Linked DNA regions of Arabidopsis thaliana. The protein of the gene in region 1 interacts with the protein of each later gene in a pairwise test. Each region holds a gene or a part of one and is shown in the gene's direction. Other genes may lie near its edges.

Region 1 (5,096 bases):
ATAAATTATTCTGCAACCTCTAAACTTTTAATTTTAGACATGGCTTATAACCTTATGAGTCATCGAATCCTAGAACCTATCTCAAAATTAGCCAACCTCATACAAATTGACTTATCTTTTCAGAAGACACCCTACACATTCAACTTTGATTTCTTGCTCTTCAAGTCTCTAGTGCGTTTGGATCTTTCCGGAAATAGTGTTTCAGTGGTTGGTACCGGTTCAGAAAATTTGACACATCTAGACTTGTCGAGCTGCAACATCACCGAGTTCCCGATGTTTATTAAGGACTTACAAAGATTATGGTGGTTAGACATTTCCAATAATAGAATTAAAGGAAAAGTGCCTGAGTTGTTATGGACTCTGCCTTCTATGCTCCATGTAAATCTCTCACGCAACTCCTTTGATTCCTTGGAAGGTACGCCAAAAATAATCCTCAATTCGTCGATTTCGGAGTTAGATTTGAGTTCAAATGCCTTCAAAGGATCTTTTCCTATTATTCCACCTTATGTCAACATCATGGCTGCATCAAATAACTATTTCACTGGAGGCATACCACTTATATTCTGCAAAAGATATCGACTCAGTCTCCTTGATCTATCAAACAACAACTTCAGTGGGACAATTCCGAGATGCTTGACAAATGTGTCACTCGGACTAGAAGCGTTGAAACTCAGTAACAACAGCCTCACTGGGAGACTTCCGGACATAGAAGACCGCTTAGTACTACTTGACGTTGGCCACAACCAAATAAGTGGGAAGCTTCCAAGGTCTCTAGTAAACTGCACAACCCTAAAGTTTCTAAATGTGGAAGGAAACCACATCAACGACACTTTCCCTTTCTGGCTGAAGGCTTTGACGCGTCTTGAAATCATTGTTCTGAGATCAAACAGATTCCACGGTCCCATTTCTTCTCCTGAGGTCTCTCTTTCATTTACGGCACTGCGGATAATTGATATTTCCCGTAACAGCTTCAACGGGAGCCTACCGCAAAACTACTTTGCGAATTGGAGTGCACCTTTGGTTAATACCCCACAAGGATATCGTTGGCCAGAGTACACAGGAGATGAACACTCTAAATATGAGACCCCGCTTTGGTCTTATCCTTCCATTCATTTGAGAATAAAAGGACGAAGCATAGAGTTGGGAAAGATTCCAGATACATACACGTCGATAGATTTCTCAGGAAATAGTTTTGAAGGACAGATTCCAGAATCAATAGGTGATTTGAAATCGTTGATTGTTCTGGACTTATCTAACAACTCTTTCACTGGTCGTATTCCATCGTCGTTGGCCAAACTTAAACAACTCGAGTCATTGGATCTATCTCAAAACCGAATCTCTGGAAATATACCTCAAGAGCTAAGAGAGCTGACGTTTTTGGGATATGTTAACATGTCACATAACAGACTCACCGGCCAAATACCACAGAGTACACAGGTTGGAGGGCAACCTAAATCCTCCTTTGAAGGGAATATCAATCTTTGTGGTCTTCCTCTTCAAGAGAGTTGTTTAAGGGGAAATGGAGTACCATCAACACCACATACACAAGAGCAAGAACTACCAAAGCAAGAACATGCGTTGAACTGGAAAGCAGCTGCGATAGGCTATGGACCCGGAGTGTTGTTTGGACTGGCGATCGGACAAGCCTTTGCTCGATACAAACCGGTCTTGTTCTATAAGTTGTTTCGACTTTGAGATGTATTGTTTCTTCTTCTTCATTTTGGTGTTGAATCATATGTAAAATAATCAGTTTACTACTCTTTGCTTTTTGGGCTTTGACGATAAACTAACAACACAGCTTTGATTTTCTGGTTAATCTGTTTCGTATTAGACAGACTTTGTAAACTTTAAATGTTGCTCAAATGCTTGCTTGTTTAGTATACACACTTTGAACTACTCTTTCTATTTCAAGACTAATGTACTCTGTTATTTTGTAAAGTACTTGTTATATTATTAGCTTGAGCACATATAAAAAAATATATATATATTATATTTTATAGTTTTTTTTAGATTCGTTAATTATTAATATTATAGATTATTAAGTTCCAACAAGAGTGATATTATTTCATTTAGCAAGCTATTTCTTAAAACCCACTATATTTGCTGAGATTTGTGTATCTTTTATTCTTTTTAATTAACTATAAAAAATGTAAAAGAAAAATATATTTTCTGTTTATTTAGTGTTTATTTAATATTATAATATAATAATTCCTATGACACAGGTTTAAAACAAATAAAATCCCAGTAAAAATAATTTTTGGGATTATAATTTAATACTAAACAAGAAAATCTATGATGTATTTGCTAAAAATACAAAGTTTAAAAAACTAATTTTTTTATATACATTAAAAAAACATAATTTTAATATTTAGTTAAATAGAGTTTGGCCAATAAAAATATTTACTGTAGTTACAAAGTATATAAATTTAAAATAGTTTTAATGATTTTATTTTATTTTTTGTTTATAACATTTTATATTGTGAAACAAAATAAACATCCTAATATGAAACAGAATGACACTTCCAAAGATATGCCCAATTGAAGCAAAAGCCAGAACAGCTTTTAAATTGCAATGGTCTCTTCGGTTTTATCCATCCCTCCACAAACTTGTCTACTTCCACGATTACCCATCTCTGATTCTGTCAATTGCAAATCGAAAATCGTGTACTGTCTCTCCACAAGTGTCCGAGGAAGCTCCGTCAAGAGACAATCCACGGCCAGAACTCGCAGTTTCACTGAGACAAATCGTCGAACACCTTCCGTGCAATCCAAACATGAATTCTGGGAAGATCCAGATGATGGTAGCGACAGTGAAAACGAATATGAAGGAGAAGAAGAAGATGGTATTGGGAATGATTTAGATAACGAGAGTGATTGGGAAGATGACTCGAGAGTACAAAAGCTTACTACTACAGACAACTACGAGGAAGAGCTTGCAAAAGGTTCTTCTTTAAAGTCTCTCACTTTACTATTTTTATCCGAATTGTGTGTAAAAGATCACTCTTTTAGTATGAAGAACTGGAATAGTTTCAAAGTTAGTACTTTTGTGTGTGAATGTGTATCATTGCTTTACATGGGCTTGAGTATTTGCAGAGGTTGAACAACTTCTTGAACCTGAAGAAAGAGTAATTCTTCAGCAAAATGAGAAACCAAATCTCAAGATGATCTCAACAGTAAGTTTTCATGTGATTTTCTTCAGTATCTCTTATATGCATATCAATCTGTGATCATATTGCTACGAGTGTAGTGGTTTTGATTCACTTGGTTTGTATACTTATTGTGTAAATATGGAATCTGCAGAAGAGTTGGAAGCCACTTCAGACACTTGCTCTGTCAATGCAGATTCAGTTAATGGATAATCTTATTGAAAACGGACTAGACATTGATGATGTTGACAAGGTTTGCTTTTAAACATACCAAATCTGGTTTCTATTGTTTATCATGTCACTGACTGAATCTACAAAAACAGGACAACCAAACCGCTCTTCACAAAGCAATCATTGGTAAAAAAGAAGCGGTGATTAGTCATCTTTTGAGGAAAGGAGCTAATCCGCATCTTCAAGATCGGGTGAGAACTTATCTGGTTCCATTTACGTAGAACCCATTTGGAAAAGGTTCATACTTTATTAACCAGATTGTTCAAAGATACAGGACGGTGCAGCTCCGATTCATTATGCAGTTCAAGTTGGAGCCTTGCAGACTGTAAAACTACTATTCAAGTACAATGTAGACGTCAATGTTGCAGATAATGTTAGTACTTAGTAGCAACTAAAAGCTTATCTCAAGCCATTAAAAAATTTCTGATTTTGATTCGATGAAACTTTCTTTGTTTTACAGGAAGGATGGACTCCGTTACATATAGCTGTACAAAGCCGAAATCGAGACATTACAAAGATATTGTTGACCAATGGTGCTGATAAAACAAGACGAACAAAGGTGTTAATGGCGAAAATATGTGTAGAGAAAAACTGAGAGTATATGAATAGTTAGTTTGTTTTTGTTCGATAACAGATCAATTTGGTTTTGGTTTCTTGCTGTCTTTTCAGGATGGGAAATTAGCTTTGGACTTGGCTCTGTGCTTTGGAAGAGATTTCAAGTCATATGATCTGGTCAAGCTATTGAAGATTATGCCCACCGGGGATATATAGAAAGAGCTGGTGAGATTTTGAATGATCAGGTTGAGATTACTAAACTGCATTTGCCATTGCTTGGTTTGATTGTAATCTACACCGGTATAAGTGGTTAAGGTAGAAGAAACCCGATTGAGTTTGTAATTACTGCTTTTATATATTCGTGGATGAACTTGTTATTCGGGTGTGTGTATCATAATGTGCATAACAAAGATACACATTGTTATGTCATATATATTAAATTACAAGCATTGCAAGATTGTGCAAGTAAATAATAATTTTAAGGGTTATGCATTGCCTTTAAAATAGGGAAGACAAGTATATAATTTGTTCTCTTTCTCCACATCTTTTTTTTTTTGTTACCAACCATACATTGAAACATGCAAATGCATATGCACCTATTCGTTGATAAGTTCGCAGCAACATATTTTACAAGTTCCGGTCTCGTCACGGCTACAAAAAGCGGATTCATAATTATATCCATATTTTCCAGATACGCAATCCGTAAAGCATGAGTCCGTGTACGGTCCAACCGGGTGTTTGCAATCTGCATCGACAGATTTAGGTCCTGCAAAGACAGAAGCGTTAGTTTGAAGAAATATATGCATGTGAGTAGTCTTGGCCAATCTAAAACAGATTCGGATTAAAAAAAAAACTATGTCAAATATAAACATGATTATCAATTTGTTATTGAAAAACGACGAGGACTAACCAGAAATGATGAATATGATCATGATGGTGGTAATCAAAATTAGTAGAGGAGAAGATGATGATCTCTTGGATTCCATTGTTTTCGTATTAAGACTTGAGAGATAATGGTGTTTTTAATCAACTGAGAGATTATGGTTTTATAGGTTTTTTTTTTGTTTCACTTTTCCATATATATTGTGACTTTTGAGATATATCATTAACTAAAAATAGTTATCACAGCTATATCTTTTAAAAACTGGTTTTACTGAAAATGGC
Region 2 (3,959 bases), on another chromosome or scaffold:
TGGATCGTTCTGCAGAAAGGAATGCAATCGCCATGAAATAATCATCCCATGATAAGTACCTTCACAACAATTCAAACAAAATTCTACCATTAAAAATCAAAGCAGATTCTAAACTTGGGATTTTCTGAAAGTTGGAAACTTTAGCTATGGAATAACGAAATTAGATATATTGAATGGAATTATGACAAACCCATTTCGTTTCAAAGGACTGAAAGGATCTAGAGCAGGGAATTTTCTGGAAATTGCAGAGATTTCGGTGGAAGTGAATTTTCGGGATTTGGGGTTTTTAGGGTTTGATGAGAAGAAGCGAAATGCTAGAGCTGAAATCAAAGCACCGAAGATTGCAGATGTAGAGACGAGTGTAAGATCTCGAGAGTTCATGGGGAGCTTCAAAATCGATAAAACAGATTTATCCAGAAAAATCTTTGCTCTTCTCTCTTCACTATTAAATGTAGCGGGAAACTATAAGAGAGTGAAAATCCCCGCCATTCCGGTTAAGGCAGGTCTATCATTCGGTTCATATGATTGTTGGTTTAGGTTTCGGTTAATAACTAGATTGGTTTACTGATTGTGCTTTCTCTTCTCAGCAGAAAATTATGGCAATTAACAGATTTTGGTTAATTTCATTTTTTTCAAAAATTATGTGTTATTGAATCATTTATTTTATTATTTGTTATTTTTTTTTATTTTTTTTAGTATTGAGTGCTACCAATATATTTTTTGGATAAAAAAAACTATACCGGTCCAGATTTGATATCTCAACCATCTCTTCTATATTTCTATTAACTATGGATTTAAACTTTTTTGTATCGTTGATGTTTTGACAATCTTTTCAATTCACAAAAAGGTTATAAAAGATTGATTTTGAAATTTTGGTTAATGATCTTGTGAAAAAATTGACATTACCTTTCAAAATTTTTTTTTATAACTATAGTTCTATATTCTTATTTTGCGCTTTTAAGATACCGTCTCTGACTTTTTTATTGGTAGGCACGGTTGTGTATACCTATATAAGTTTTAGTTTTATTTCGCTATTTAGTTTTCTTTTGTCTAATGTAATGTAATATGAACTGGATAGATTAAGAAAACATAAAGTGGAAACGAACAAAGTTTGAAAAATAACAAATAATTGGAAACGTACATGAAACTATGAAACACATGAAACAAGTTAATAACTTTAAAAAAAAAACATTGAAAGCATTACGTACATTTTTATCTATAAATAACAAAATGTATTTAAAACATAACGACCAGGCAATCGTAGATCACAACACAATTCAGATTAGCTATTAAACCTGTGGAATTTTGTTTTTTTTTGTCATTTAGAGCGTCTATACTAATTAATGTAATTGAGATTGCAGCGGAAAGACTCAAACCCTAGTTTCCGAATTCTCAATCCTATAAATCTGTTATAATCTTTCAACTATTTAAATCACATATATAAATAAAATATAAACTGTTATATGAGAAGAATTTGATTAAATTACTAATATATACGGACTAAGCACATAGTAAGTGAGCTAGTTGCTAGCTTTTGAATCCATTAAGCCACGTGCATCACCAATTATTACACAACCCACATCCACATTTTCATTTTTTTAAAAGGATACGTTAATTAACAAATATACAATCGCAAAGTTATTAGTTACAAAAACATATAAAATGAGATAGATGATGAAAAAGTGAAAAGGGTTTCTTTAAAAAGCCTCTCATGCTTCAATAACGTGATCCGTTTATATCCCATCTTCTCTGTCTTTTCTTCAACGGAGATTTTCTCTACACCTTAACTATTTTTTTTCTTCCTATTTCTATCTTCGTTTTACTAACCTACCCTCCATTATTTTCACTTTACAAGTATGCTCCTCTTATGTTTTGGAAAAAAAAAAAACAATGAAATTTTGCAATTGCAAGTTATGTCATAATATATAGTAGCTTTAACGTAAAAAACAACATTAATCACGTTTGCGTTTACATGTTTATATTATTTCGACATAAACGCAAATAACATGTTCATCATTATAAAACATTCTAAAAATTTGGTTATTGGTGACTATTTATTTTGTAACTCGACAAAACTTAAAAAATCTTATATATCTAACCTATTTTTAACTTTAGTTGATTGTTGTACAATCACATCATTTCGTCTTATCATGGAACCACACTTGACAACAAATTCACATAATGGCGGTACGGTGGTCGTTTGTTAACTTTGAGGATTATATAAAAACCCAATGATCAAATAACCCAAAAAGATATGCATATTCGAATAAGGGGTTATAAGTGTAATTTCAAGTAGATAGTATATGTGCACAGACACGAAGCAGCTTACATATAAAGTGATTGGTAATTGCCATCCCCACACTTATTGAGAAGTGCAGCCTTTTAGCCAAAAAAAACAAACAAGAATACAAAAATGGCTGAACAACAAGATCATCACAAAGAGCTTCAGCTTTTACCTTCTCCACCGTCTACCGAATCTCCGGTAAGGAAACACCGACCAACAGTTATAACAACCGACCATCACAACAATCACCACCGTTCCTCCTCCATGATCCACCACGATCTTGACCTCAAACTCTCCATCAGCCTCAGCTCGATCTCAACAGCGGAGGAGCTTCCAAACGGTGGTGTGGAGGCGTTGAAGTGGCAAGCCGCGGAGCAGATAAGGCTTGCGGCTATAGAGAAGGCTTACGCCGAGAGGGTTAGAGAGTTGACTCGCCGTGAGATGGAGATGGCTCAGTCTGAGTTTGCTCGTGCAAGGTAGTTAAAGCTAGCTCGATCAAGTAATAATTCTGGTTTTGGTTTGGTTAACGGTTTTGAATTGTAACCAGGGTGATGTGGCAGAAGGCAAGGGAAGAAGTGGAGAGAGCTGAGAGATTGAAGGAGAGATCAATGACGAAGATCGATACGGCTTGCTTGGAGATCACTTGCCACTCTTGCAGACAAAGGTTTAGGCCATAACATAAGTATTTATTTGTTTCTCTTAATTATTGTTATTATAAATGGATATTTGAAGAGAAAGAGAATGTTGGTTTAATTTAAATTTTATTTTGTAGTTAAATTTAATTTGTTTTCATTTTCGAGTTTGGTAATATTATATAGTCCTTCCTTTTTATTTTCTTGAAATCGAAGGAAAACAATATGCTCAGATAAGAGATGATTTATGTTTCCAGCTACTTTACTTCCTCTTCTTTGCCAACCAAAAAAAAAAAAAAAAAAAATCATGAATACCATTTAGTGAATTACTTGGGAATTAGGGATAAAATTCATTAGTTACGTTGTCAACATTAGCTATGTCAATTCCTCAACGATCAGCTATTATATACTATATGGAGTATTAAAATCTAACTATGACATTTATTAACCAACAGAACAAAACCTAATTAGTAATTACAGTGATTAGTTAGTTAAATGCTTGATGTTAAAGTAACAAGAGATGGAGTGACATTCACAATCGAGGAACGTGGAAAATAAAAAAGAGAATGGACGGATTGCATGATTTGAATATAATTGGCTGACCCATATGTGATTCATTTGATTTGTTGTAATCATCTTTGAAAACGTTCGTTCAATGAAAATTGATGATTATTCTGAAAACAAATAATCAAACACACGTAAAGACATATGCATGGAGATGATGGGTATAATTATTGCATTAACATGCTTATTTCATCTACTTTAATCTCTTAGGTCGCTTTAAATAGTATATATGTGTGTACTATTATTTTGTGTTTGTGCATATACGTACATTTACTTACAGAAACTTGATAAATGTATGAATATTTTTGATAAGAGAGAGGATTAATTTTAATTATGTACTTCGTAGACTATGGTTTAAATCAATCGTGTACTACAGATAATATGTTCAAATTTAAATCCTAAAAAATGCCGAGTTTACGATCATACCCTAAATACGTAAATCAACTCGGCTGATCTATTCGGTTGGTCGTCATATTCTC
Region 3 (4,392 bases), on another chromosome or scaffold:
TACCAATGGTTTAGTAGATTTGATTTGAGCCTTGTAAACAGAAACTCTGTTTGTAGGATCGATTCTTGTTCAGGGTTTGATTCAGTAACAAAACATATTGAGTATACTGTTTAGATATTATTTTCCTACCAGTAGTTTCTAAACACAGCTTAGGCATCTTTAAATGTTGCGAATAGTTTTCTAATTCTTACTCGTTTTTCAAAATCCGAAACCAAAGCAAACTGAAAAATGGATGCTCATCTCTATCTACCTGAAAACGTCGATATCAAAATCAATTTCTGCTTGTGGTGCACTTAACACAATAATCATTACTCTCAGTCTTATAAGGATGTGCAATACAACATAATTTAAACCTGTTAACAGACTATCAATCTGTTAAGAAGTGATTAAGACCTTGACTATTTTAAAGGCTATCTCTTTTATTTTAATTTTATTATTGTTCAAGTTGTCTCTTCTATTTTCGAAACATCGCCATGTTCAAATCGACAAAAAAAGAAGTGTATAGAACAAATCCACTTAGAATAAGTTACATCTTATGTAGATAAAATAAATAAATAAGTTTTGTAGAAAATTAACCAAACATATACAAACAGACGATAAGCATTTGAATTGAATTATATTTGTCTATACCATAAATTGAGTCTCAAAAGATTTAACCTGAAATAACTATCCTAACGGAAAACTGTTTTGAAGATGACAAAATACGAGATAATGTGTAGATTCCGTGTGTATCTCTATTGATAGACTTTAGTTTTTGTGTATTCTTGAAGGACATAAACCTATTTTAAGACCAGTTCAACAGAAAACTGGTGCAGACCACGATCACAGTTGTAATGAGTTTTCTAAAATGGTAACCACTCCTTTTCCTTTAAGAAGCAGTCCTTCTTGTCTCCTGCCCTAATTCTCTTCTTCTCTATAAACCCATATTCTAGTTTTGTTCTCATTCATTCTCTGTTCAAAGCTCATAAATAATAAACTCCAATTAAGAATGGATCAAGCGGAGCTTGCCAGGATCTTCCAAATGTTCGACAGGAACGGTGATGGCAAAATCACGAAGCAAGAGCTGAATGATTCATTGGAGAATCTAGGAATCTACATTCCAGACAAAGACTTGGTGCAGATGATCGAGAAGATTGATCTCAACGGTGATGGGTACGTGGACATCGAAGAGTTTGGAGGGTTGTACCAGACGATAATGGAGGAAAGAGACGAGGAGGAAGACATGAGAGAGGCTTTCAACGTGTTTGATCAGAACCGGGACGGGTTCATCACGGTGGAAGAGCTAAGGTCTGTGTTAGCTTCCTTGGGGCTCAAACAAGGAAGAACCCTAGAGGATTGCAAGAGGATGATAAGCAAAGTTGACGTTGATGGAGATGGCATGGTGAATTTCAAAGAGTTTAAACAAATGATGAAAGGTGGTGGATTTGCCGCCTTAGGATCAAACTTGTAAAAAAAAAACTCATTTTTCGGGTTCGGGTTTGAGACCCAAAATCATTGGGTATTTTTTTCTTCGGAATGATTATTAGGGCAAAACCTTGAAAGCGATGATGAATGGATTTGCAAAAGAAAAAAGCTCAACAAACTTTGTGAGCTTTGTTTTGAATGCTCCTACAAAAATGTTGTTGATGAATTTGCTTTTCGGATTTTGAAACATAACCATGCGAATCTACGGGAACACTTGATGATTCTTTTATTATTTATATATTTGGGTGTTGCACTTAAAAAGTTATCACTATCTAGCTTATAATCATAAAATGATGAAAATATATTTGTATTTGTAAATTACAAAGATTAAACACAAACAAACAATCGAATTTCTACCCAAAAAAACAAACAAACAATCGAATTTATGTCTTTAAAGTGAAGATTTAGGTCAAAGTAATGGAAAAAAGTGTCTCATGGAATATGTTAGTCAGGCGGTCAAAGTAAAAAGTAAAAAGAGAAAAAACTATAAACTACATGATGTTTAACTCTTCAAGTGACGTCAAGACATAAACTACGTGCCGTTTCGCACTATTCGTAATCCAACGGGCGAGACTGGAATGAATTTATGACCAGATCTTGGTTTTTTCTTGTCGTCTTCTTCACCGCTTACCAGTTACTAACTTGAGCTTCAGAGATCATCATCATCATCACTTCCTCTCTCTGAAGAAAACACAATTTGGAGTTTTCTAATCTTCATTCCAAGTGAGTACTTCAATCGAATCCCTTTTCTACTATTCAATAATTCAATCTATTATTCAAATTCTCGTCTATCTGTTTCGATGATTTTGAGGTTTTCGCTCCCTTTTGTTATCAAATTATGGAATCTGATTCCCAATTTCGCGTTTGTATGTACTCGATTTTCTCTTTTTTCTTGCATGATTACACTTTGGTGAAGTTCAGAATTCGAGTAATATCACTTGAAATTGCTACTCTCTGCCTATTCATTAGGGTTTATGAATACATAGTTTAGGGTTTATGTTTCCATTAGTCACTTCTTGAGGACCTGCTTATCTTCGAGCCATTGTGTATTTGATAAACTTTGGAAGAAGTGTCCACTATATCTAGCGTAGGACTGAATGTAGTAGATTAGAACTGCTAAGAGTTGGTTAGAGAAAGGGGTGGGTAATTTATAAGGATTTTCTAGGGTTTGGTTAGGTATTCGGTAGAGAGTTTCTGGTTTGGTGAACAAGACATAGCTTTGCATCATTTGTTTTGAGTTGAGATGTTTGTGTGTTGTGTTGTGGCAGTGGAAGGGAACTCTTTACCCGAAGAAGATGTAGAGATGATGGAGAATTCAGATGTAATGAAGACAGTCACAGATGAAGCTTCTCCAATGGTGGAGCCGTTCATTGGTATGGAGTTTGAATCAGAAGAGGCTGCAAAGTCTTTCTATGACAATTACGCTACATGCATGGGTTTCGTTATGCGAGTGGATGCTTTCAGGAGGTCAATGCGAGATGGGACTGTGGTGTGGCGCAGACTCGTGTGTAATAAAGAAGGATTTCGTAGGTCGAGACCTCGGAGAAGCGAGAGTAGAAAGCCTCGGGCTATAACAAGAGAAGGGTGTAAAGCTCTGATTGTTGTGAAAAGAGAGAAATCCGGAACATGGCTTGTTACTAAATTTGAGAAAGAGCATAATCATCCTCTCTTGCCTCTCTCCCCTAATGTTCGCCGGAATTTTCAGCTCCCTCAAACACCGGTACGTCTACGCACTTTTCCTTGGGGTAAAAGTAAAACAGTGATTATTGGCATTGATCTAAGAGTTACCAAGAACATAAAGCTCAAAAAATGATATCGAAATCTTGTACAAATGAACTTTTCAGGACGAGAAAGACGCAAAGATTAGGGAGCTGAGTGCAGAGCTGAGCCGAGAGAGAAGGCGTTGTACTGCTTTGCAACAGCAGCTTGATATGGTCCTTAAGGAGATGGAAGAACATTCCAACCATCTCACCATTAACATCAATAGTGTTATCCAAAGTGTTAGAGACATTGAGTCCAATACTTTCACCAAACAACAAACATAATGCTTCATTTCTGTTCATAAAAGCTTAACATCAAATTCTCATAATCCAATGTTCTGTATCTTGTGATTGATTCTTCATTCTCCGAAACAAAAAAACAAAAAACTAGATTGGAAGGCATTGATGATGAAATTACACATTGGCTAATCAAAACAAAGCCATGGACATTATCCAATTTTGACATAGCATCAATGCCAGAAAGCGTAAATGGCGGTAGAGATGTAAATCAGCAGAGCAGAGGAAACCAGAGTGACGAGCGTTGCAACAGCTTGAGCCGCCGATTTGCTGCCGCAAGAGAGCAAACCAAGACGGATCTGAATCACATTAACCATAGAGAGCATCAAGAAGAGACAGCCCATTACAGATCCGACAGCAGAAGCCATCATTCCCCATCTCAAAACCTTGATATTGATGTGAGCTCTGAAAATCTCGTTGACGTCTTTGCTATTAAGAAGGTTTAAGGCAAGCTTAAGACCCTGAGCTACAAGAGAGGAGAAGAGGAAGAAGCTGAAGGAGACGACTTCGAAGACCAGTAGCTTCTTGGCGACGTCAGCACTTGCGTCGCAGCTGGATCGTTGTTCGAGGCTGTGTTGTCCTGGAGTCGCTAAGGAAAGACCAACGAAGACGGCGATGGTGAAGAGAGAGTTCACGTTCACGAGTCCGTCGAGAGCGCTTACGTGGACACTTGTGGTGGCGAGGGAGGATGTTGAAGACGCCTCTGGTGACGTCATTCTCACGCCGTTCTCAGCGCCGGTCATGTAGTTAACCTTCGGCTCAGATCTGCTCGGAAAGGGAAAAAAAGAAACGCAATGGTTAAAAAAAAGATAGATTGATTTTAGGGAAGAGAGAGGGTTTGCTTACTCATACATGAGGGAATCTATTTAAG

Evidence for each region. The genes of interacting proteins can lie anywhere in the genome.
Region 2: the proteins of EMB506 (region 1) and AT3G48550 interact in a two-hybrid assay, tested with the Arabidopsis thaliana proteins (one large-scale study listed by BioGRID).
Region 3: the proteins of EMB506 (region 1) and AT3G07500 interact in a two-hybrid assay, tested with the Arabidopsis thaliana proteins (one large-scale study listed by BioGRID).

What each region holds. Positions count from the first base shown.
Region 1 is NC_003076.8:16,061,778-16,066,873, reverse strand, and holds EMB506 (Ankyrin repeat family protein), read left to right. Parts: upstream 1-2,184; 5' UTR 2,185-2,572; coding exon 2,573-2,942; intron 2,943-3,093; coding exon 3,094-3,173; intron 3,174-3,300; coding exon 3,301-3,399; intron 3,400-3,469; coding exon 3,470-3,568; intron 3,569-3,651; coding exon 3,652-3,750; intron 3,751-3,837; coding exon 3,838-3,936; coding exon of another isoform or gene 3,937-3,972; intron 3,973-4,046; coding exon 4,047-4,148; 3' UTR 4,149-4,395; downstream 4,396-5,096. Other genes in the region: RLP54 (receptor like protein 54), read left to right, coding at 1-1,695; AT5G40155 (Defensin-like (DEFL) family protein), read right to left, coding at 4,529-4,698, 4,843-4,918. UniProt on the Arabidopsis thaliana protein: Involved in the initial differentiation of the proplastid during the embryo development. Also required for correct cotyledon, true leaf and cauline leaf margin development.
Region 2 is NC_003074.8:17,991,635-17,995,593, forward strand, and holds AT3G48550 (SHOOT GRAVITROPISM-like protein), read left to right. Parts: upstream 1-2,184; 5' UTR 2,185-2,413; coding exon 2,414-2,760; intron 2,761-2,831; coding exon 2,832-2,961; 3' UTR 2,962-3,145; downstream 3,146-3,959. Other genes in the region: AT3G48540 (Cytidine/deoxycytidylate deaminase family protein), read right to left, coding at 1-59, 191-381.
Region 3 is NC_003074.8:2,390,201-2,394,592, forward strand, and holds AT3G07500 (Far-red impaired responsive (FAR1) family protein), read left to right. Parts: upstream 1-2,015; 5' UTR 2,016-2,186; coding exon 2,187-2,187; intron 2,188-2,732; coding exon 2,733-3,184; intron 3,185-3,308; coding exon 3,309-3,509; 3' UTR 3,510-3,578; downstream 3,579-4,392. Other genes in the region: AGD11 (ARF-GAP domain 11), read left to right, coding at 989-1,450; AT3G07510 (maternal effect embryo arrest protein), read right to left, coding at 3,695-4,286, 4,368-4,375.